Caenorhabditis elegans: one gene and its partners. The protein of the gene in region 2 interacts with the protein of the main gene of each other region in a biochemical or structural test. Each region holds a gene or a part of one and is shown on either strand. Other genes may lie near its edges. The genes, in order: flp-23, frpr-8, flp-7 and flp-16.

Region 1 (4,919 bases), on a different chromosome or scaffold from region 2:
TGGTGAATAGTGTTTTAGTGTTTCACTGATCCTTCAAAGTAGATGTTGCACCATGGTCGAGGGCGCTTTTCAACCGCTTTGCTCTGTGGACCACAGTTATTTGAACTTTTCTAATTATTTTTTTTTGTTTTTTAGTTTAAATCAAAATAGTGTCACTATTTTACTTTTTTTTATATGAACAAAACACTGGGAGTCGGGGTTCCAAATTTTATGAATTCATATCACATCACAGCGATTTTTGTATTTTCAAAAAAAAACAAAATTTCAGATCATTCTCCGGAGGTGGACAGTAAATGTTCTCAAATCAATAAAATTTAATTCGATTTGTGATCCCAACCATCAATATGCATAAATATTTCCCAGATCATTCGAAGAAATCATTCGAAAATGCGTCTTCTTATTCTCGCCCTCGCCTCTTTTTCCGTTCTTGTGAGCTCTTTCATCGTAAGTTCTTCTTTTGACTAAAACTGTGTGAAAACCGTGGAAATACGTGTTTATCAGAGTTAGTGACGAAATTTTACCTTTTAATGGTATGATGCCTCGTAAATTTAATCAAACCTCTGTAGAAAACTCGTGTCATGTCAAGCGATTCGAAATCGATTTCTGAATGTGAAACGGAAACCCGTGTCACTTTGATGTCCAAACGCAGGAATAATTCCTTTGAAATTCAGATTCGTACTCATGATCTGCAAAATGCACCAAAAGCAAGAAGATTCCTGAAAAGTTTTGATCAACCTGAAGTAGTTGATCTTACTAAGGATCCCACTACGTTCCAGGAGTTTACCAAATTCTATGTCCAACTTCTAATCGACGTAATCCAAAAAAAAGACACCAGAAGCCTTCATGGCACACAATAATTACCTGGATCTTGAAATGTTGTTCAATGAATGTAATGCTCAACATTACGAAAATTTAGGTTGGTTTCTGTAATAATATTTCAAAGTCTTTTTTAATAAAATTTTCAGGAATGTTCTTCAAATGGCTTCAACAATTTGCTGCTCATCACGAAGATCCAAAGATCACAATTAAAGATTTCAAGGGAGATAAAACATCAGGAGAAATGATTCTTCATGTTAATACCTTCACTTTATTCAAGTACAGACAAGAATTTGACATGAAAGTTAGCGCTTTGAATGTGGGTTATTGAATCAATATTTTGAAGACAAAACTAATTTTTCAGGACAATGGACTTGGGTGGAAGATTTTGTTTGTTGACCGCAGTCTTGGGTGTAATTGATTCATTTTTTGAAACCGAATAAACTAATTTGTTAAATTATTAAATTAGGCAATGGGACAGTCTGGAAGTTGCTAGAATCTACCGATATTTATTAGATATTTATTACTTACTTGCTACTATGTTTCACAAAACAATATCAGAGAAAAAAAATCAAAACTGAGAAAAAACGAAACAACTTACCGAACAATAGTTAGCATTGCTTTGTACAAAAAAAACTGTGAGGCTATTGGAGCACTCCTCTGATTGATCCGGTCGTGAGTATTGATTTTGTTTGTCAATTTGTCTAGGACGCAATTGATTCATCGTTTGAAAAAAAAGCTCGTTCATTCAAAATCATTGATTATTTATTCCATGCAGAAAACTGTTTTATAATTCTCGATAAAAATGTTATATTTTAAACTGTAAATATTTATTTTTCCACATGATATGGTCTAACCGTGGGCGTAATATTTTCGGTTTAGAACGGCTGAATCGAATCTTTTGGACTGCAAAGACGGATTGGATTTTGAAACAAACTACGGTGTTTTTGTGACAGTATTAGTCAACGAATGGTAATTAGGCATATGTTTTTGGAACAACTCATAATTTCTTGTTGGAAAACAAAAGTGGCAAAGTATAATTATTTAAAACTCTGACAAATCTTTTGTCTTTTTTCTCTGGTACTCCTGTTTTTAACAGTGTCCTTATTATGCTCCTATTACTCTTGTGTTGTGCACGTTCTTTTGAAATCTATATTGCAGAGCGGGAATGAATTTAAATAAGAATAATTCAACTTGGTCATTCAAACAATAAAACGCCTACCATTAATATATCCAAAATAAGTTCTTTATTTTTGCAAGGTATTCAAATATATCAATAACTCGAGCCTGAAGAAATCCACCGCTAGAACATAAAATTAACGATAAATATTAAGGCAAAATGTTTGGGCCGAACCGGGAATCGAACCCGGGACCTCTCGCACCCGAAGCGAGAATCATACCTCTAGACCATCCGGCCACTGCCCGGCTGGAGAAAAATGGGGGACTTTGAGCGTTACAACATTCTCGAGGCCCTCTCGAGTCGAGGGGGACCGAGACGGAGAGTGCTAGGAAAACCAAGCATATTTGGTTTTTGAGTATATAGTCGTACGATTGAGAGGAAGCAAAGATAGATTTATAGCTTTTAATTTATTTTTTCTAGGATTTTACGTAACATTAATTTCAATACTGATTTCGAGATTTGTCTTTTGATAGATTTACAACATGGTTATCATCCGGTATACTATTGTATAAAAGATGGTCCTAAATTCTATGAGATTATTTTATATTCTCTCTCAACGAGATGCTTCTTCCAAAAATTTCAATTCTTCTATATATTCTCGTCGTTCTTCAAGAAACAGCGGCTGTCCGCGGTGCTCTTTTTCGCTCCGGAAGAGCTGTTCCGTTTGAGCGTGTCGTTGGACAACAGGTGAATTTTTTATTTCATTTTGAGTGAGCCATTGTAACATTGGATCATAAGAGTCACGTGGAAAGTAGAACAATCTCAACCCACAAGTTAAAGCCTAATATTATTCCAATGCCTCTAGTAAGATTTTTATAAAAATAGAAACCTCGCCATATTAGCCAGACACGAGATTTTTACGATTTCTTCGTCAAATATACGGTACCCAATCTCGACACGTCAATTTTTCAATAAATGCAAAAAGATGTGCGCCTTCAATGAGTACTGTAACTTCAAACTTTTGTTGCTGCCGAATCGACTTAGTTTTGTGAAAATATATGTATTCATGTTTTAAACAACTCAGAATTAACCCAAAAATTTTAACAAAAACTTTTTTTTAAGCTATGAAAAATCAATTTGAATTCGGCAGCAACAAATGTTTTAAATTACAGTATTTTTTAAAAGCTTACGCCATTTTGCATTCATTGAACATTTGTCGTGTCGAGGCCGGGTATATTTTTGACAGAAAAAAAACAAAATTTCAGGTTCGTTGTTTTTTGTTGTCAAAATTATAATGTGTTTTAATATCATATCAAAAAATTAGTCATTTGATTTTCGATAGATCAAGCTTCAGTAGAGGTTTCTAATCATTCGGAAATATACACAAAATCTTGAATTTACACTTCCGATCAGTTGGAGAATATCATTGATCTATCAATAATGTTAGATTTTGTAGTTGATATTTTCACAAAACTCTCAAAACTTTTTAACATAAAAAGTTGGCATGGTGCGTCTTATAATTTTTGAATAACTTATTAAATTTCTAAAATTAATATAGAGATTGGCTCCCACATGTCGAGAAGTTGAATTATTTGTTCCTTGTCTATTCACTTCTAACCGTGATTGTGTTATCGACAAAATATGTGTTCATGAGAAACCACTTCCCCTTTCATCGATTTCTGTGTCAAGCCCGAGTCCAAATACAAAACGGGAAGGTCATCCCGAGTTCATGAGCCAAATTGCGCCGCCTAGAAGAAATGTGAGAGTTGAGCACAGCATTCAACAATTTCTAATCAGCTTTCAGGACTTTTTGCGATTCGGAAGAGCCGGAATGGCTTCTGGAGTTGGTGGAGGATCGGAAGGAGGACCTGATGATGTGAAGAATTCGTATATTCGGGTCAATGGGGAGCCAGAGATTGTTTATCAATAAAATAATATGGATTCGATGCGTCCGATTATTTTTTTTTACTTGATATTACATTCTCGAAACTATTGTAATGTGTGGGGAATCGTTATAAATAAAATATCTTCTTGTTAAACAATTATTCCATGAAATATGAAGTTATAAAGATATAATCCAGATACGAAACTTTGAGATTTTCGTCCGAAAAGTACGGTAGTGGGTCTCGACACGACAAATGTTAGTTGTGCGCCTTTGAAGATTACTATCATTTAATTTTTTGATTAAATCGTTTTATTCTAAATGCTTAGTATTTACACAAATATATTTCAATCGGAATTTTCAAAGTATTTTCCTAGAGGAAACTACTTTGAAAATTCAAAAATTCAGCAACAACGAGAGTTTGTAATTACGGTAATCTTCAAAGGCGCACACCTACTCGTATTTAACAAAAATTTGTCGTGTCAAGACCGGGTTCCGCTCTTTTTTGCAGTAGTACAGAGAATATTCCGAAAGAAGTTTGAAATTAAATTAATTTATTATACCGACAAATCATCAAATGTGATGTATTTCAATGAGTACAATTTTTCGAAAGAAAAACAGATTGAGGATAAAACTTGAGTGATGAGATAACCGTAATATGGAGAATTATATCAGTGTCAAGAAGGCACATTGTTCAGTTTCATATTTACAGATGTTTGGGATTAAATGAAGATTCGGTATGCATCGACGATCAGAACAATGAACGAGTGAGTTGAAAGACCTGGAATGTTTAAAATTAATTTTTAAATTAAAATTCAATTTTCTGCCAACCTTTTGTTGAATGATATCAGTTCTTGGAGAAGACCATCTTTCAATTGCTTCAAATTCACGACGTCTTTTCACCAGTTGTAAGAAGGCGGTCAACGACCCGTCAACGTTTGCGTAGTGTGTGCGGCAGGAGAAGAGACTGCAAAACAGAGATATTTCATGAAGACTCAAATGAACAGCGGAAAATGTGCCTCGATAGCTCAGTTGGGAGAGCGTACGACTGAAGATCGTAAGGTCACCAGTTCGATCCTGGTTCGGGGCAATTCTTTTTCG
Region 2 (8,541 bases):
CCGAGCCAAGTCCTACCCAATAGTTACTGATATTCTTGTCAGTTCATCAAATTTAAAACTTGTGTTTGGATAGTACTAATCAAGCTTACTATCAGATTGATAGTATTGTATTTTACTTCAACTTACCGCAACAAAAAAACCGGATTGTCCGTCATCTATGCTCATTTCCCTAATTTCTCAGATAGTCCATAGATTTTTGCCCATATCCTTTACGTTATTCCTTTCATTTTGTGAACCATGACCGACGCGGTTCGATGACGATCTTTCGCGTGAGATACTGACTCCATGTTTGAGGGTTTCGTAGCTGAAAATGCTCTCAGTCTTCCCGAGACAACGTTTGCTCTCATTCATGATTCATTCGATATGTGAACTTTTTTCTACTTCCACTTTTAGTATTTATTCGTTTTAAATAAGTATGAAATGAATAATCCACCTCTTGCTTTTTTTGCAGTTCCTATAAGTTCACGAATGTATTTTTCATATCCATTTCCTTCATTTTCAATTTAATTCGATAATTATCGTTATAGTTTTTAAGACTATTTTTCCGTACACAACTTTGCACATAATGACTATCTGAGTCAAGCTCACTTTTCCGCTAAAATGAATACGCAAGAATATCAAGAGCTCACTTTTAGAACTTCGATATTTTTGTTTTTCTTAGAGTGAATACATCTTCCAAAAATACATCGAATGTTTTTTCCAAGAAAATGCTCGTTTGAACAACGAGTGTAAAAATATGTCCTTGAGCTATGAATTATGAAATATGTGAATGGTCAACTAGAGCTTGCCAAAAAATATGAATTTTTTCTTCAAAGTCTTCAATTTAAAGTATATATTTTATCCGGAAATTACAATGACATCATGTTAATTTTCTTTTTTTTTAAACTTTTTTTCATTTTGGTGAGTGAGTATATCTACAATTAGAATGAATAAGTTGATCAAAATCGTTTGAAAAAATTTTATCATTGTATTATTTTACATATAAAAGTTAAAAATACAAAGAATCCAATTTTCAAACTCTTTTTCTAAACAGAAACAAGTCTTTATCGCTCTTTGATTTTGGTTTGGGTACAATATCTCAGTAAAACCATACTTCTTTAACTAATCTTGTATTTTGACAAATCATATTTAAAGTGAGTTTTCGTAAATTATTATTCCCCGTAATTGGAACAGGTTTCAAATATCAAATAACATTTCTTCAATCATCATTGCTTATTCAAAGAACCTCCTTTGTTTTTGTGAAAGCTACGTGATGATACCAGCCGTTCACGACTTTTTGGCTTCCACTTCTCCGCTAACATATTCATTACTGACCATGCAGTCCCCTTTTTCTCAGTAGTTATTCACAAATTCTTGATACTATATATAGTCGAACATCATAAAAATGACTAGTAGTATATTTCAATTCTGCTTCGTCTTTTCATTGATGCCCTACTATTTACCAGAACTCACTTTTTTGAAGCCATTTTGTAAGGCATCAATAAAGTAAGACTAGTTAGTCTTGAAGATCCAACTGTTTTTTTGTTTTGAAAAGAAAGAAAAACTTAAGAAATTAGTGGATGGTTTTGTTCAAAATTTTCGAAAATAAGTGTATTTTCTCCTAGACTTTTTGAAAGTACGAGTAACAAAAACGTATCTTACTGAAATTGTCAACTATGTGTTTTTGTTTTAAATTTTCACTCTTATCTTAGTTTACTTTCTTTTTCTTAACAAACCAAAACTCTGATTTTGAAAAAAAGTTCTCATTTAATTATTCGCTCGAATAAACTAATTACAAGTTCATTTTTGTGTTAGTATGTATACCATAAATTTTACTTCCTACTTTCTCCGAAGTTTCATATATATTCGTTTTGTTTTACAAGTTTTATATTGAAGAATTTAGTCACCTAATACCATTTTCAAGGATGTATGTTAATCGTTAAATTTGAATAGACCCCTACGTCACTGCTTCTTTTTTTCAACTTTTGAACTTTGGTTGCTCCGTCTTCGCTTTTTTGTTTCGTTTCAACCAAAACTCAATTATCTCTTAGTTAGAGCCTTTTTTCTTTCTAAAACCAATTTTTATCGTGTTCCAGTGTGTGCCACACCACTTCGGCCTCTGGCTATGAACTCGACAGTTATTTCGCTTCTTAATAATTCTACACTGGTCACTACGGATCAGCCAGGTTTTTCTGGAAGTACAAAAGGAACATGCAGCTATCCAACTAATTTTGCGGAGGTCGATTACATTAGCACATATATTTACCTGCTTGCCATTCCAACAATTTGCGTGCTGGGAGCCGGCGCTGCGGTAATGTGCATTGTGGTGTTCACTAGGAAACAAATGAGGTTCGTTTTATTGAAGAGTACTTGTGAGAGTATATCTAGAAAGGACTGAATTCGAATTACCTATCCACTTCACTTTTTAAGTTAGAAAATATAAGAGACGCAAAGAAAATCTGTTCCCCGCAACGAAAAGACTTCGAACGTTTTGAGAAAGGACGACGAAGTCACGTGGCTTACGGAAACGTGTACGAGGGAAACTTTTTCATTTTTCTGCGTCTATATCTTCTAACAAACACAGTAACGTGGATAGGTAATATGTTTAATCATTATTTCTAAAAAAATGAATATGTGATGCGTGTATATCTGTACCCCAAATGGTTCACAGGAAAATAATAATTTTTATATGAAAAAAAAACGATAGCAGTTTTTTTTTTCACAAATTATGTTTCTGCCTTTTTTGTCGAATAAAGAAGGAGTCTTGTCCAACAAGTAAATCAAAAATAAAGTTAGGGAAACACCAAATGTTTTTCCCTGATAAAAATACGCTATTTAGTTCTAAAAATAAATATTTATTAGCCTATATATTTATAAAAATTTACCTCACATTAGTCAAAAACGAGCTATAGCTTTAGGCTGCTATTCATTTCAAAAAATGATCAAAAACTATTCAAATAAATCTTTCAATTTGTTCTTGCTGCACAATTCAATTGAAACAGTGATTTCAAATTTTCTTGGCCCTTAATAAACATTTTAATTCATGTACAACTGACGACATTTTTATGATTTTTTTTGATTGTATTAATCTTTTTGAAAAATTAATGACATCAAATTGTTCCCCATTTATTTAGTTTTAATTTTCTTTGGTAGTCTGTTCAAATACTCATTTCAAGAAAAAAGAGCAAATAAGGATACATAGAAATACAAAATATTTTTAACTTCAGATCATCACTCAACGTATATCTTGCCGGATTATCGGTTTTCGATCTTATCCTGCTTTCATTCAGTGCTCTGATCTTTTCACCTCTCCAAGGTTGCGTTTTGCAGGTGAGCGTAGATAACTGGTTGATATTCAGTGGAATTTGTAATGAGATGAAGAAATGTCCATCAATTTATTCATCGATAAGCTCATAGCACGGAAAGAGAAATGAAAAAAGTTATTTATGATATTGAAGAGGGATTTAATATTTCTCAAAACTTCGAGTTTCATCAAGGTCTGAAATAATTTTCTAATGTCTTAGAAACTGCGTATAATTTATGTTTCCAGAAATATGAATGTTTCAGAACACCACTAAAAACAACTATGTTAGCAATAATTCAAATAAACTATTCAGGGTCACGGGGACACCGCGGTTTGTCATTTCTTCTGGAGATCAACTCCTTGGACGTTACCCATATCAAATATCGCACAATGTGGTAGTGTCTGGACATGTGTTGCAGTGACGGTGGATCGATTTCTTGCTGTTAACTATCCGCTTCATAGCAAAATTTGGTGCACACCGCGCCGAGCAACAACAATACTTATTGCGATTACGGTTTTTAGCATATTGTTCAAAGTAAGTACAAGAATTGTCAATTTTTTATTTTGTATTTCGAAATACACACAACGTTTTAAAGTTTCGTATCCTGACTATTATGGTCTAAAGTAATGTTTTTATAATATATCAAATTTGCATATTACGGAAGTCTGTTGCTACGATAATTGTAGTTTAAAGGTTTTTTAAAATAAAATTTCTTGTGAAAACAAACATCAATGCTATTAGAGTTTGTGACCCCAGTTTTAAAATCATTCAAGCATTCAGAATATTAAACATGTCAGCACACTGTTCATTGATAATAAGTTGATCACTGTGTGAAAATGTTCAATTTTATTTTAGAATTTTTAAAATATACATTTGCGTGTGTATATCAAAACACAAGAGCTACTGACTTTGATTTCTAAGACACCGGGGAAAACATGAAAGTTGAAAAAAAATTAATTCGTAATTTACATTATCACAAAATTAAAAATTCTGTGGAGGAAAAGCAGATGAGCTTGAAATTCCAGTATTTATAATATTTAATATTAACTCGAAAATCGCTGTTTTTTATAAATTATTTTCCATCAGATTGTAATTTTACAAATTGAAAAAAAGTACACTCAAAAACACTAGAAAACTTACAATACGCTTTTTAGGTTCCCCTAGTTTCAATGAATAACTTAGAGATTTTTCAATATTTAGCAGTGCTGTGCGGCCCTTGAAAAAAGTCGGCTCTCGGCGCAAGCCGCACAGCACTGATATTTAGCTCAAAATTTAATTTAAAAAAAATGAGTTAGGTACAATTATACAAAATCCCTACCTTTTTTCATCTTGTTTTAATTTTACGGCCAACTTGAACCACGCAAAACTTTTAGGTTGTGAATACAACATTGGTAGTTTCTTTTTTTGTGTTATTTTCTGATTCAAAAGACTATATGGATTGTTATTCTAAATGTTCTAAATTAATGTACTACTTTGCAAACTGAGGAACATCGTAATAAGTTTAGTAGGCGACTATCCGTGATACAAGTCATCTTCAGGCACCAATGTTCTTCGAGTTGACCAACGATGACTGTGGTCGACTGAGAACCTCATTTCTGCGGGATAATAAGTACTACAAAGAGTACTACGTAACATTTGGGTACCTCATCGCGCTGTTATTGATTCCATGGACAGTAATGATTATACTGAATGTGTTTGTGGTAAAGGCTGTACACAAGGCGTATAAGATTCGGAGGTCTATGCAAGGAGGAAAAAATAATCAAGAAGAAAAAGATCGGAGGTGTGGTTTTATCATTTTTATTTTTAATTATTTTTTAAACTTTGGTTTCACCAGTTTTTTGATGTTAAGTTCGGTTCTCTAGTTTCTTAAAAATTTTCAAATACATCGATTTACATTTTTTAATGATTATTTATTTTTCTTATTTCAAGCATGGACTGCTAACGTTTATTACAAGAACCGAACCAGCTTTTTTGATTTTTGCATGTTTTTGTTATTTTTTATTATCTGAAAACAACTATCGCTCAGAACTTTTCTCCCTCTTTTTTTTCGATTCGACAAAATTCAAAAACAGTAGAAAACAGTTTGTCTCCCAAGTTCAGAAACAGTCTCAGATGCACTCTTATGGCCATCGCTATGGTGCTCACTTTCTTGATCTTCAACGTAGTAGCAGCAGTGAACAACTTGGCTGAGACGGTGTTCGAAGTGAGCTTAGGATTTTGGAGTCCCATTGGAAATTTGCTAATTTGTTTAAACAGGTAAGAAGTTTTAGTAATTATAACGTGTTAGAAGCTGTGTGCTCGAAAAACTTTAGAATCGGTTTCTACATGAAAGTGGCAGAGAGCACATTAGTATGGAAAAAGAAACTTTTCCGGGTTACTTTTTGGGTTCAATCTGTCTTTTCGAAATGTTTTCCAAATATTGCCATGATTTTAAGATGCTTTGAAACACTGAAAATGACCCTAAGTAATTTCAAAAAAATTTTCAAAGAAGTCTGAATCAAGTTCGGTGAAATAAATCATTCAATCTAAAAGTTTAAAATCCTCAACATCAACGCAAACTTTTGAAAATGAACAAGTAAACATTTTATACCAAACACCACCTTCCAATTTTATATCACAGAGGTTATAAAATTGGAAGTGCATGATGCTGAATCGTTTTTCAAATAGAGTTATTGAATGAAAAATAAATGAACTTAAGCCCTAGTGTGGCAAGGTTTTTGAATTGTATGTATGAACAAATAACCTTTAGCGCTTCCAACATCGTGATCTACTCGTTATTCGGAGCCCGATTTCGTCAAATGTGTGTCCTCATGCTTTGCGGGCGACAAAGTCGATGGATGGAGTGGCTCAAAGTTGGAAGGTACCCACCTCAGTAATTCTATCACTGCATTGTTCAAATTTTCTAAAAATTGTCATTCAGGAGCATGGTCAGTGATTGGGATGGTAGAGATGGTACGACGAGGAAAACTAGTTTGGACGCCAGTACTGCTCTGTTAAGTGCGAGGGTAAGCTTTAAAAAAAGTAAATCGGTACATTCATTATTAATTATTCTTCTTTAATGAACATTCTCGATTAATTGAAAACAATTTCATATTTCTTTACTATGCTTTTGCTTTTTGGTATACTGCTTTGTAAATTGTTTTCAAAAGAACCATTACAGCGAATGACGATTTCGAATTTCATAACCTACCCGGTGGTAAGTTTTGTGTGGAAAATAGAAATAATATTGTCTAGAAACGCATTTAGTTCGTGTGCAGTTTCATTTTCTCCCCGGACTGATTTGCATGTACCTTACCCATTTTCCCCAATATACTTAATCTCCAACCTCTTAGAGTTTTTATTTGATTTATTTTTTGATTTCTTGATAATATTGGTTCTAACATAATTTGTTCTGATTGGAAACTGGGGTTAATGCGTTTTAAATAGAGTAGTTTATAAATTTGAAGCAAATTTTTTTAATATGATAACTGTGGAAAGCGGACAAAATTTTTTAAACAAGTTTCACAGTTTAATTATCTTTCCATCAATAATATTTAAACAATATAGCTGTTTCGTTACTGTTTTGGTAATTTGTTAATTTACCGAAAGTTTGACGTTCATATTTGAAACATCCATTTTTTCTTTAGTAATTAACTATAATACTCAAACATACAGTATGTAAAATAAAGTTTCCATAAAGTTTCAAAAATTTGTGTTTCAGAGTTCTCGCCGATGGAGTAAACGGAGTCAAAGTGGTGCACCACATCAAGCAGCTCCTGCTCGAAAAGATACAGTAATCTACACAAGTGCTCAAAACAGACTTTCGCTTCAAAGCGCACCTTCATAACGGAAAACACGTCAAACCTTTATCATGTTTCTGTATATATCTTTACTGCACATCTTCATGGATTTTGTTAATTTGAGCATTTTTTCGATACCATGTATTATTTGATAAGAACTGCAATATCATTATGAATTGAACGCTTCATTTCTGTTTTGTTTTTTTTTGTTTCGTTTCTAATATTTATTTTTCACCTGCCTGCCATAATCAAAAGTTACTAGTTACAAATTGTCTAGTCTAAAAGTAGTACTGGTCATCTCCCTCCAAAATCATCCCGATTCTTGCGATCTCTTTTGTATTCATTTTCTTGGGTTGCTAACATTTGACCAATTCATTTCAGCTTGGCTAGTTTTACTTAAGTGTCACTAAAAATTGCTCGGAAAATTGTTAATTGAGTCCAAGTTTGATTATTTCAGACTTATATAGTTTTATATTTTCTCCGCAATTTTTGAATTCACGTTTTTGGATGATAATGCTCAAGATTTCATTGTGAAATACAGCAATGGTCCAATAAAGTAAATTTCTCGTATATTTAAAAAAAAGTATTATTTATTCAAAATTATGCTTATGTTTATCTTTTAAGCTTTTGGGAATCGGGAATAATATATGTTCAATTATTTTCATTGATTTTCCTCACTCAACAGTCCCAATATTTTTACTAGGAATATGAATACATTCGGACAAATCGTTCGATCAAATTCAGGGTGGGGATGCCTCATAAAATTTGCAGGCACAGCTTAAATGTTTATCAAGTTACAGTCAATACTCTGAAATGTGTATCCGCTCGATATGTGCAGGGAACCATTGTACTTTGAAAACTGTGTCAATATTATATTCAATAAAATTGGTAGGTCAAGTTTCGAAAGGATTTTTGAAAAATCAAATTCACGATGAAAAAAAAAATTCTTTTACTTTCGTGAAGGACAAAGCAAAAAAATTCTCACAAAAATGGCGAGCAATATCCCATTTATATTTTATATATCCGTTCTGGTGCACATCAGTTCAAATAGACGTAAAGCAGAAGTGTGTATAGCGCACATGCGGACACCTCGCGGGTTCCGCCGGCTACTGTGTTTTGAATCCGATGGACGTGGCCAGCAGCAGTTTGTCCCTCTGGAAAAGGAAATTATATCAGCTGGTTCAACGCAGAATTATCTCAATGTTTTTATTATTTCACGCAAAAGTTAAGAAAAAAGTAAAGCTTAAATATGTTCGGTAACATCACATTTTAATAAAATTTGATGCATGTAGGGCTTGAGAAAATCATTCCGAAACTTAAAAGTTGAAGTCATAAAATGATTATTCACGTGCTGACAGCATTTCAAATTGTTTCAGGTACACATTTACCGGAATATGGACCAGGTTCTTTCATTTCATGACAGATGGTGTGCTAGGTGAACACTGCTAGCCCCCCCCCCCCCCACGTTGCTATTAGCA
Region 3 (4,642 bases), 2.8 Mb from region 2:
AAAACCCTCGCTGTTAGCTATAAATCAATTTATTTTGGGAGTACATGTTGCCACGAAAAATAAAACAAAGTAATTTTCTAAGAAATCGGAATAAATTTTTTACCCTTATTAAAAACTACTACGTCGATTAATGTTAAACAAATTTAATCATACATGTTTCTAGCGAAAAAAAAACCTTGAATACGGTCAAAGAACAGCGAATTCTGATAAGGCATATTTTCTATGTTTATTTATTAGTGTTGCTTGAATAAATTCATGATCATTTATAGTGATGCGAGAGCTGAAAGTTTCTTGGAGCGAAACAAAAAGCAAAATTGGAGCCTATATAACCATGTGATCAAAGTGTCAAAATGATTTAACAATTGTAGTTTCATAAACTAGAAATTACGTGTGGAAACTGACAAAAACTTTCAACTTTTCAACTTTTCCGCCTTCAATTTTTCTAGAATTCTTAATTTCATTGCAGCAGCGACTTAATTTCCGTTTTGACGTAGACTTAAGATTATATCGGTAACATTAGTTGTAAGTTTTCTTCGTCATTTTACAAAGACTTACAACTCGCCGTATAAATTTTCAATTTTTTCGGAATTGTTGGCCCACGTGTTTTCATTTATTGTGAACAAAGTTAATAGCTTGGTTGTGTCTGGAAAAGTTACTTAAAGTAGTTCAAAAACTTAGAGTTCTATGAAATAGCAGCTTCTCTTCTGGCATCTCTCACATCTTTTGCTCGAGTTACGATAATTGAGGAAACGTTTGAAATTAAATGCACAGGTGATTCTATAAAATACTTATGGAATGTTTTTGAAAGGGTTTTGCAAAAATACTCAAACGCATCTACAATAAGTGTACATACGTAATATGACATATCACCCAGATTCACAAAACCACATGTTTTATAGATATGGTACTTGGTTTCAACAATTTTTAACATACTTTGAAAAAGAGCAAAAAGTATGTTTTACATTATTTATTGAAAACTCGTGTCAAGACCTGTTATTGTACTTAAGTTTTTTATCTGAAACTATTTTAAACTCTACATTTCACAATCAATGATCAAAAGAAAAACTGACCGAAATTTCTTTTTTTTTATTTTAAACTAGTTTTTGAACAAAATTGAACTTAAAAAACTTCAGTATCCACAATTGAAAAAAAACGTCATTTTTTGATTTTCTTAATCTTGAAGCTGTATTGTAATGTACTTAAAATTATTTTTGTTATGCGACTCTTATAATATTTTACATAAAAAGGACTAGATAAATATGTGTTTGTGCATCACAACCCCCGTTTAAAAATAAATTGAACTTTCATTCATTTATTCATTTCAATTAAACATAATATATTTTATAATTTTTTTTCAGGCTCCAAAATGACTTTTTTATAGGTTGAAGAGCCTGATAATAGTTTTAATAATACCTAAATTTATAAATTGAAATTTCAACGTACATCAGTACGGATAACTTTGTGTCTAAGTAATACATACAAAATTTTTGGAAACTTATTTGTTGAATTAATTTTTATTTTTGCCTTCTTCTAACACTTCCTCCTAAATTCTCAACTGACCGCTCAAAAGGTTTCAAACATCTTTCTCTTTGCTCTTCTGGAGAGTGCTTGCTAGTATCCTAAAATACCCGACACAATCAAACAGAGATGGACCGCGTGAATAATGAAGTGTCCCAAGATCCGTATAATTCACTTTGATTGCTCTGTGAACTTGGATTTTTTTAATCGGGCTAATGCGTCTTTAGCAAAAATAGCCAACCATCTCAATGGATTCCAACCTAATTTTGATTTTTTTTTTTTTTGGTGTTATTTTTTCTCCTTGTTCCGATTTCCAGTTTTTGTTTGGACGAAGGCGGAGTCATAGCATCAGACAAGGTTAGAAGGCATGAGAAGAAGGGGGTGGAGCATGAGCCTTTCTCGAGCTCAGGAATATGAAAGCGTATATAAGTATGGATAGCAGCTTCTATTGCGTTTCTGATTGTGATTATTTTGCCCCGTCATCAGTTTTCTTTTCAGTAAATTGTCAAATACAAATTTTTTGATTACTGTTGCTTGGTCTTGTGCAATCCACTCAATCTTGAATCCAATTTGCAGTTCAAGTTACAAATTGAATTTCCCTCTGCCAACACTCAAAGAAGGGTTCTTTTTTTTGACTTTTCAACTTTTCTCCTCATTTTTTCTCGATTGAAATTTCAATTTTTAAACCACTCCGCGTCATGTTTGGAAACATGACGTCATCGAAAAATACCATCTCGTTTTCATTCAAAGACTTTTAGAAATGCTTGGATCCCGCTTCCTTCTTCTTGCTCTTGGTCTCCTAGTTTTGGTATTGGCCGAGGAATCAGCCGAACAACAAGTTCAAGAACCAACTGAGTGAGTTGAGATTTATTGATATTATGTTGTTCTTGTTGTCGTGATTTGTTGAGTGAATAAATTTATTTTATTATTCTGAATGAACTCCTATTTTTTCTATTTTTTATATTTTTCAGACTCGAGAAGTCAGGAGAGCAACTCTCAGAGGAGGACTTGTGAGTTGTTATTATTCAGAAAAAACTTTATTCTCACACTATGCACTTTTAGAATTGACGAGCAAAAGCGTACTCCAATGCAACGCTCATCAATGGTTCGGTTCGGACGGTCACCAATGCAACGCTCATCCATGGTTAGATTCGGAAAGCGTTCGCCAATGCAAAGGTCCTCAATGGTTCGCTTTGGAAAACGGTCGCCAATGCAACGATCTTCAATGGTGCGTTTTGGAAAACGTTCACCGATGGAGCGTTCGGCTATGGTTCGCTTTGGAAGATCACCTATGGACCGATCGAAAATGGTCCGATTTGGTAGATCATCAATTGATCGCGCTTCTATGGTTCGGTACGTATTGACGTGAAAAGTATTTTGTGAATAAAGCTGAAGTTCAGACTCGGAAAACGGACACCAATGCAGAGATCATCGATGGTCCGTTTTGGCAAACGTTCGATGGAATTTGAGATGCAATCAAACGAGAAGAACATCGAGGACAGCGAATAAACAAGTACATGCAAACACCTTGATTACCAAGAACAAAACGGTCTCACATTGTAGTTTAATCTCGTTCTACGGCCTATTCTTACCTTTTTCATTTATGTATTTTTTTTTGACAATTATTTTTGTGCCACTTGACTAATAGTACAGATTGGTCGCTACCCAAATACTCCAGTGTATCAAAATTAATTTGCGATTTGCAAAATAAAGAACCGACGCCTGTTTTCCAGTCCTTCATCTTAAATTCATGCAATGCAAAGGATGAGAGGATTTCAAAAAAATAAAACTATAAAAAACAGGAAAATTGTTCAGAATGGCTAATACGGTGAGTCTGGTAAGTTGATTAAAAACAATGTACATTTTTTGCTTTTTGGACTAGTTTCGCGCCATAAAGCATTGTGTCCCGAGCCTGGTTTCATGTCCACTCATTCGCTGCAGTATTCAAATATGATCAAACCTGCCCAGCTACAGAAAAGCCTGATCTCGCGCCTTTCCCTATAACGTTAAAAGTTGTTAACTTTATTTCAAAGTGCATCGACTCTCCTAGGAGAGCGTCGTATGAGTTAAGTTGAACTTTTCAGAAAATAATCCAAAATGATTATTAACATTGTAAAGGCTTCTCAATCCCTACGGCAATAAATCATACAGAGCTTTTTGGTCATGGTCACCCGCTCGTTTTCCTGAAAATCAGAAATATACGTATTTGGATAATAGAGGTTTATTGAGAAAGCCTAAATCTAATAAATTTCAAACCGACAATGGTAAATTTTTCGATATAATTTTCTGGAATGGGTTAATTTTTTTTGCAGTTGTTTATATTATGTCAGATAACTTTTTATTAGTAATAGTCAGAACAGACGGGAAGTTGTAATAATATCAAAATGATCGGAAACCTCAAACGGAACAAAACTAGAAGGAGTATTATCTAAAGTTATATTGGGATAGAGGATGCCTCAGATTAAAAAAAAAATTTTGGCAAATAATCAGATATTGGAAATTTTGAGAAATTTTGAACAATTCTCCTTGTTTTAGCCATACAATTTTTCACATAAATTTTTTTTTGCTGTTTATTTTATTTTGCTGTTTATTTTAACCACACAAACTATGTTCAACAGATTATCATCCAGTACGAGCTGAGGGGGAATGAAAAAAATAAGTTTTATGGTTCTATAAAGACCAAGCACCATAATAAAACTTTAAAAAAATATTTGGAAATGTTGAATTGTGAATCAAAAAGCGGTGCATATAGTTTATAAAAATTTAATGATTTTCTTCTTTTTAATTATTCGTTTTCAAAAAATTTGTAAAGACTGAATTTTCTTCTTAAGTTTTCACCGAAAAAAATTTTACTAATTTTTTGCAAAAATGTATCATGTTCTTTGTTTGATTTAACACCATAGAAGTGGTTTTCAACAAATCATAGTCCACATTTAATTAAAATTGCACCAACACACAATTTTCAAGCTTTCTTCAATGTTTCCAAAGTTGAAAAAACACTTGTAGGTTTTTGAAACCATTAAAAAGCTTTATTATATGGTAATACCCAAGTAGTTCCGCATCCGCAAACAATTCTACATGCCCATTTTTTTGAGCTCAAATAAACGAGGTTGTGGGATTTTTA
Region 4 (5,862 bases), on a different chromosome or scaffold from region 2:
TCTGAAGCCCTTGTTAGGAAGTTTCAAACCACAAAGTATAAGAATCATTTGAAAGCATGTAATGCTTGCTCTACTAATTCATTCAATGCCATTTCATTCACATCCTCATTTATATTAAACATGCCCCCTACTTCTCCCGTCTCTTTGTCGCTTCACTTGATAAAGTTTGACAGAAAAACGCCACCCACCTCTTCTCTCGCTTAACCTAAACTTTAAGCTTGCTATTTTGAATGTTTTTTTTCTAATGTGAAAGCTGTTTTTTTCGACTTAGACTACTATTTTCGGAGAATTTCCTCGAAAAATTTGAGCTCAAATTACCGGAATTGAAACTTCCGGTAAAATTGTACGCATCCTATGAATGTTCCTACATCTATTTTGAAAAGTAATCAAATTCTATGAAAATATCTAAAGAGAACGGGAAAAAATTCAAAAAGGCACAGTTTTAAGTGTATTCGTCTTATAAAAACCCCTCTAAACATTTCCGGCAAATTGACATCTGGCAAACAATAAACCGACAAATTGTCGGAATTGCAAATTTCTATTTGCCGATTTGCCGAACAGCAAACCCATGTCCCAAATATTCCGCGCAAACTAAGAAGGACAAATTACGGATTTATTGTTATTACCTCACTGCTAACCACCATGTTATTTTTAGGGCAAAATTGAAAATTTTGTCTCAAAATTGGGTCTCGGCACGAAATACATTTTCCAGCTTTTTTCACCGTGACCGCTAGGTTTTTTTTCTTTGCCAAAAACTACTAGAACAACTTAACAGAAAATCATTTTCGCTCCATTTTTCAAAATTTCAAAAATCTAAAGGTCTCCAGGGTCCGCTTTATCATCCTTAAGCAAGTATTCCCCCAGTTTTCAAAAAAATTTTGAAAATGGAACATTCATCGAACCGTTTCCCGTTTTAAATTCACACTTGATCTCACACGGGGAGGGCTTGAGGGGCTTCTCCCTTCATAATTAATTATTGAAAAGTGCACGTAATACGCTAATACGCTAGAAACATGAATTTCCAAGATAATAATAATAGGATATATTTCTCTGGAAAAGTGAAGACTATACTATAAAAGTGACGTTTTTTTATTGTTTCAATTGTGGGTGGATTGCAGATTATAGCCGGTGTTAATCTAATCTCCCAAATAAAATATTCAAATATTGTTCTGAATATATATTCTGGGTCATTAGCGGGCTTTCACTAAATTTGGCTGAATTTCCCAATCCCACCTGCAAAATTTTTCGATTTCAGCTCCTGAAAATCTAAAATCTCAAAGATTATAAATGCCAGATATAATATGGCATTTATTTAGGTCATCTTGATTTTCTGACTCAAATTCAATTTTTAAAATTCAATATTGTATCCAGGAAGAAAATTGTTGTTTTTTGTCACAAGAAAAAAAACTTCCGGAAAATTCAAAATTGCACCAAAACACGTGGTGGCAGGCTGTCCCATTACGGTTTGATTTACAAAAATTACGGGAATTTTTCGCACAAAAATGTGACGTCAGTTGAGAGCTCTACGTCTCCTTTCCCGCATTTTTTGTAGATCTACGTAGATCAAACCTAGCCAAAAATCAACTATAACTATTTGCAAATTTGCGCGTCAAATATGGCGTATTGGCTCTGTATACCGTACCACTATAATGCACCATAATTGACGCGCAGGTTTAAAACTCTACTTTGAGTTAAGGACTTCAGATTTTAAAAATCTGAACTTGATCGTGGTGCCAGGCTGTTCCATTTTGATCTGCAAAAAATGCGCCAATTTTTGGCCAAAAAAATATGACGTCAGCCCGTTCTTAACCATCAGTTGAGAACTCTGCGACTCTTCTCCCGCGTTTTTTGTAGATTTACGTAGATCAAACCGAAATGGGACACTCTGACACCACCTGCATCCATGCAAATGCGCTCTACTGATAATTTGAGTGTAATCAGGTTTGAGCGCTAAGGAAAACAGCTTTGGTTCAAAAAATTTTTGAATTTATTTTGGGACATTTTTAATATGCATCACAAAAATATTGGACGACCCGGCTTTGAGAAAATTATTTTCCAACCCTGAACTCTAAAAACGATCCATTTGCCACGTCATACAAGTTTAGAAACCTGAAGCTCCGCCCAGATTCCCTCCCCACGCCGTCGTCCTCACCACCCCGCCAACGTCATCTAGGCAGTGTGTGTGCCCCCTCTGTTAGACTCCGCCCTCCCCCGTCTCTCTGTGTTTGGGCTCTGAAGCACCATTTGAAGGGTGGTTAAGCACTCCCGTGAGATTTTTTTCAAATTTTATTCTACCTTTTTGAACACTTTTGAAAGTTTTACTTTTTTAAAATGCATTTCAAATTTGAGTGACAGCTCTTAGAGAATTGAATATTTATGAATTTCTTTTTCTTTTCACGTTATATACTTTTTCAATTTCTTTCCCATTTTCCTCCCAGCACCCTTTAATCTTCCAGGTAATACACATACAACTCCAGTTGAAAAAATGAATTTCTCCGGTTTCGAATTTTCCTCGATTGTTGCCTTCTTCCTCCTGATCCTTCAGTTGTCAACAGCCGCAGTACTTCCCGCAGGTGAGTTAGTTGGCTACGTACACCTGCCTTGTGTCTAGGCAGGCATTAGGTAGGCACAAAAGCTTCAAAACTATAAGAGAAATCCGCCAAATCTTGCAAAACATATACTTTATATACTAATCCATTAAGCCCCCGGTCTCGGAATGAATTTGTTTTTCGTTAGATTTAGATTTTCAAATAAAAAAGGACAAAAAAGAAAAAAAGAAAGAATTTCATAAAAAATATCTGTAAAATATTTTTTTTTTTAAGTTTGAAAAAATTAATAAATTCCGAGAAATTTTTGTAAAAAAACAAAATTAGGCTTGTAAAGCGGACGTCTGGGGATTTTCCCGAATTCAGGGCGATCCAGTGTCTGGGTTTTTGAACTTTGTGTTTTTTGGATATACGAAAAAATTTCGGCCACTCTTATTTAAAATAAATAGGATTTCTAATAATTTTTTCATTGATTTTTTATTAGTAAGTTGTTTTTCTTTAAATATATATTTATTCATTAAAAAAAACCTATTTGAAACAGTAAAAACACGAAGAAAAAAAAGAAAAGAAAAATCGATGACAACTCCGCAACTACACAAATTTTTAATTACAGTAATCTTCAAAGGCGCACACCCTTTTTTCGAAGCCTGTTAGCGTAAAAATCGATATTTTTTGTAATTTTTTGTACTTCCAACAGTAAAATTAATTTTAGAAACTTTAAAGATTAATTTTTATAAATTTTAAAAACACATTTACATCTAGAAAAGTCCTGAAAAAGAAGCAGCTGCACAAAAAAAACGTAAACCATGGCAACAGAAACCTCCCTAAATTTGATGAATGAGTGTGGATCCGAAAGTATTTTATTCGAAAATAAATATTTTCCATTTTTTGCACGTCACTTACACATGTTTTTATGCGGAGTGCAAGCAGATTTGCAACAAAAAAATTCCAATAAAATATAATGTGTCTGCTCAATCGGGGATCCTGCTCACGGATTTCTGGCTTCCCTCATAAATTGAGATGGAAGAATTTGCCGAACTAGGCAATTTTAGCTCGGTCATATTTGGGGTAGATTTACGGCGCGTTGCGTATCGCGTCGCGGCTCTTTTTTCTCGATTTCAGTTGTAAAACGAAATGCATTTGTCCGTGTGGAGTACACGACTTTCCCACGCGGGCAATTGTCAATGGAGCGCGAAAAATTCAATGAGAAAGGCCAGAATCCCGTGCCTGCTAAATTTTTAAAAAAGATATCTGGAAAAAAAAAGGTTTTTTGCATTAAATATTCTGAGCTAAAAGTCAAAAATGGAAGGAAAAAGTCATCGACGCGGCGCATACACATACAATTTTTAATTAAAACTTCGCCGCCGGCGCATCAAAATAACCACTTCATCTCACCTCGGACCTATAGGCATCATCCATCAAAACCCCACCACCACTTTCATGAAGATGACGGCGAAAATGATGACGTCTTACTTAAATATATACATTTTCAGATTATGCCTATGGAGTAGCCGATGAAATGTCAGCACTTCCTGATTCCGGATCCCTGTTTGCCGAACAACGACCATCCAAGAGAGCACAGACATTTGTTAGATTTGGAAAGAGAGCGCAGACATTCGTAAGATTCGGCAAGAGAGGTCAAACCTTTGTACGATTCGGACGAAGTGCTCCGTTCGAGCAATAAATGTGCTCGTTTTTGTGTCCGAGAGAGTGGCGGGTCGACTTCATCAGATGGCCTAAAATTCCTAGTATTTCCTAATAATCCCTTGAGCCCCCTAAACGTGTTAATTTTCATAACACTTTCTCAGCCCAAAAATTCCAGTATTTTGTCTTATGTCCCGTTTTTTTTTTCACTCTTAAATCGACACCGATGAGATATGTTGAATATGTACGTTTTTTCATTCTTCTCTTCTCCCTGTGTGTACCAGTGTACCCTCAATAAATTTCGAGACCGTTGTTTTCAATTTTAGCTTGTTTCTGATTGATGATTTGATTCTGAACTCCATGAACGAATTGATTAATTTTATTTTTTTATTGAGTTTTTTCTATGAAAGACCTAGCGCCTGTGGAAACTTAAACGGGGGAAAAAACAGAAAACAGGTTGGAGGGGAACAAGCAAAAAAAGTAAAGATTAACAGCGAAGACCCTGGGCAACACCCATGAAGACGCCGAATGATCCGCCGGATTGTGCCACAGTTTTGCCGGTTTGTAGGAGAAGATCCTTGCCTCGCATGCCAGCTCTGAAGCCCATGAATCCGCCGAGAAGAATGCCTGTTGCTCCGCCAATCATTGCTCCCATCATTAATCCCATTCGAATCTGGAAATTTTGAAAATAAATTAGATTTCTGCAAATTTTATCTGACATTTCTAATAAATTTATTTTCTTTCTGCAAATGTCAGTATGATTTATAATTTCAAATCTGAAAAATATTTTTAAAAAAACCAGACCTTTGTAAAACACGACGGTTGGCTTCCTTGTGGGTGTGCTGCATATCCTGAAGGAACTGGCATTCTGGAATTTAAATAAGAAATTAAATTTGATTAATTATTGAGCAGAACAACAAATAGAGAAGAAAACAACCAAAAAATGATGTAAAAATAAAATAAATAACACGGAAACCGCGCAAAGGCACTGAAAACGCGCCAGCAATTTCTGTTGGCGCGTAATTTGATTTGTAAATTTTATTGTTGGAAAGTTGAAGAATTCTTAAGAATTAATTCGAATTCAGAGCTACGAATCATAAAATCTCAAATAAATTAGAGAAAAATGGAATAATAAGTTAATATTGGATTATCGGCAGCGATTTAAAACAGTTAAAATTCAAATTGTTCAGCGAATTCTTGGTTATTTCATATTTGAAATTGATTCCAGAAAAAATTGCTCTGGAGAGCTCTCTATCCGTTGAAATGAGAGTTATTTTCCACTTTGTGAAAGAAATCGTTTTTTTCAAGCCAATTAATAACCTCTTATACGCACAGGAGCAAAACTTTTCAGCTACAGTACCCGGGAGTACTGTAAATATCGATTTTTAAGAGTTTCTAGAAATTTGTCGATGTTTTACGTGTTATTGATACATTTAAATATTTCACATTTAAAATTACAAAAAAAATAGTGCCTGAAAATTGCAGTTTGCCGAAAAAACATTTTTTTAACGGCACTTTTTCGGCAAACTTCTACTTCCAGGCACTATTTGAGAGCTTTTATACGTTTTTCATCAGAAATACATGTTATTTTCAGATAGAACAACCAGTTTTCTACATTTCTATATAAATTCTAGACCAAAAAAGTTGGATTATCGGGTTGAAATAACCCAAA

What was found.
Region 1: the proteins of frpr-8 (region 2) and flp-23 interact in a test that uses a peptide from one of them, tested with the Caenorhabditis elegans proteins (one large-scale study listed by BioGRID).
Region 3: the proteins of frpr-8 (region 2) and flp-7 interact in a test that uses a peptide from one of them, tested with the Caenorhabditis elegans proteins (one large-scale study listed by BioGRID).
Region 4: the proteins of frpr-8 (region 2) and flp-16 interact in a test that uses a peptide from one of them, tested with the Caenorhabditis elegans proteins (one large-scale study listed by BioGRID).

The regions. Positions count from the first base shown.
Region 1 is NC_003281.10:8,648,220-8,653,138, forward strand, and holds flp-23 (VVGQQDFLRF-amide), read left to right. Parts: upstream 1-2,547; 5' UTR 2,548-2,557; coding exon 2,558-2,683; intron 2,684-3,494; coding exon 3,495-3,695; intron 3,696-3,740; coding exon 3,741-3,866; 3' UTR 3,867-3,975; downstream 3,976-4,919. Other genes in the region: F22B7.3 (uncharacterized protein), read left to right, coding at 844-916, 966-1,135, 1,181-1,237; F22B7.9 (uncharacterized protein), read right to left, coding at 4,570-4,599, 4,650-4,785. UniProt on the Caenorhabditis elegans protein: FMRFamides and FMRFamide-like peptides are neuropeptides.
Region 2 is NC_003284.9:8,695,713-8,704,253, forward strand, and holds frpr-8 (G-protein coupled receptors family 1 profile domain-containing protein), read left to right. Parts: upstream 1-2,104; coding exon 2,105-2,328; intron 2,329-3,206; coding exon 3,207-3,309; intron 3,310-3,596; coding exon 3,597-3,818; intron 3,819-4,822; coding exon 4,823-5,064; intron 5,065-5,396; coding exon 5,397-5,540; intron 5,541-6,033; coding exon 6,034-6,156; intron 6,157-6,204; coding exon 6,205-6,289; intron 6,290-6,444; coding exon 6,445-6,480; intron 6,481-6,984; coding exon 6,985-7,110; downstream 7,111-8,541.
Region 3 is NC_003284.9:5,883,589-5,888,230, forward strand, and holds flp-7 (TPMQRSSMVRF-amide 2), read left to right. Parts: upstream 1-2,276; 5' UTR 2,277-2,278; coding exon 2,279-2,373; intron 2,374-2,489; coding exon 2,490-2,528; intron 2,529-2,580; coding exon 2,581-2,871; intron 2,872-2,918; coding exon 2,919-3,027; 3' UTR 3,028-3,245; downstream 3,246-4,642. UniProt on the Caenorhabditis elegans protein: FMRFamide-like neuropeptides. Stimulates serotonin-induced fat loss by binding to and activating the npr-22 receptor which leads to induction of the atgl-1 lipase and subsequent fat loss.
Region 4 is NC_003280.10:13,232,850-13,238,711, forward strand, and holds flp-16 (GQTFVRF-amide), read left to right. Parts: upstream 1-2,456; 5' UTR 2,457-2,485; coding exon 2,486-2,573; intron 2,574-4,039; coding exon 4,040-4,230; 3' UTR 4,231-4,568; downstream 4,569-5,862. Other genes in the region: romo-1 (Reactive oxygen species modulator 1), read right to left, coding at 4,678-4,863, 4,995-5,057. UniProt on the Caenorhabditis elegans protein: FMRFamides and FMRFamide-like peptides are neuropeptides. AQTFVRF-amide inhibits the activity of dissected pharyngeal myogenic muscle system.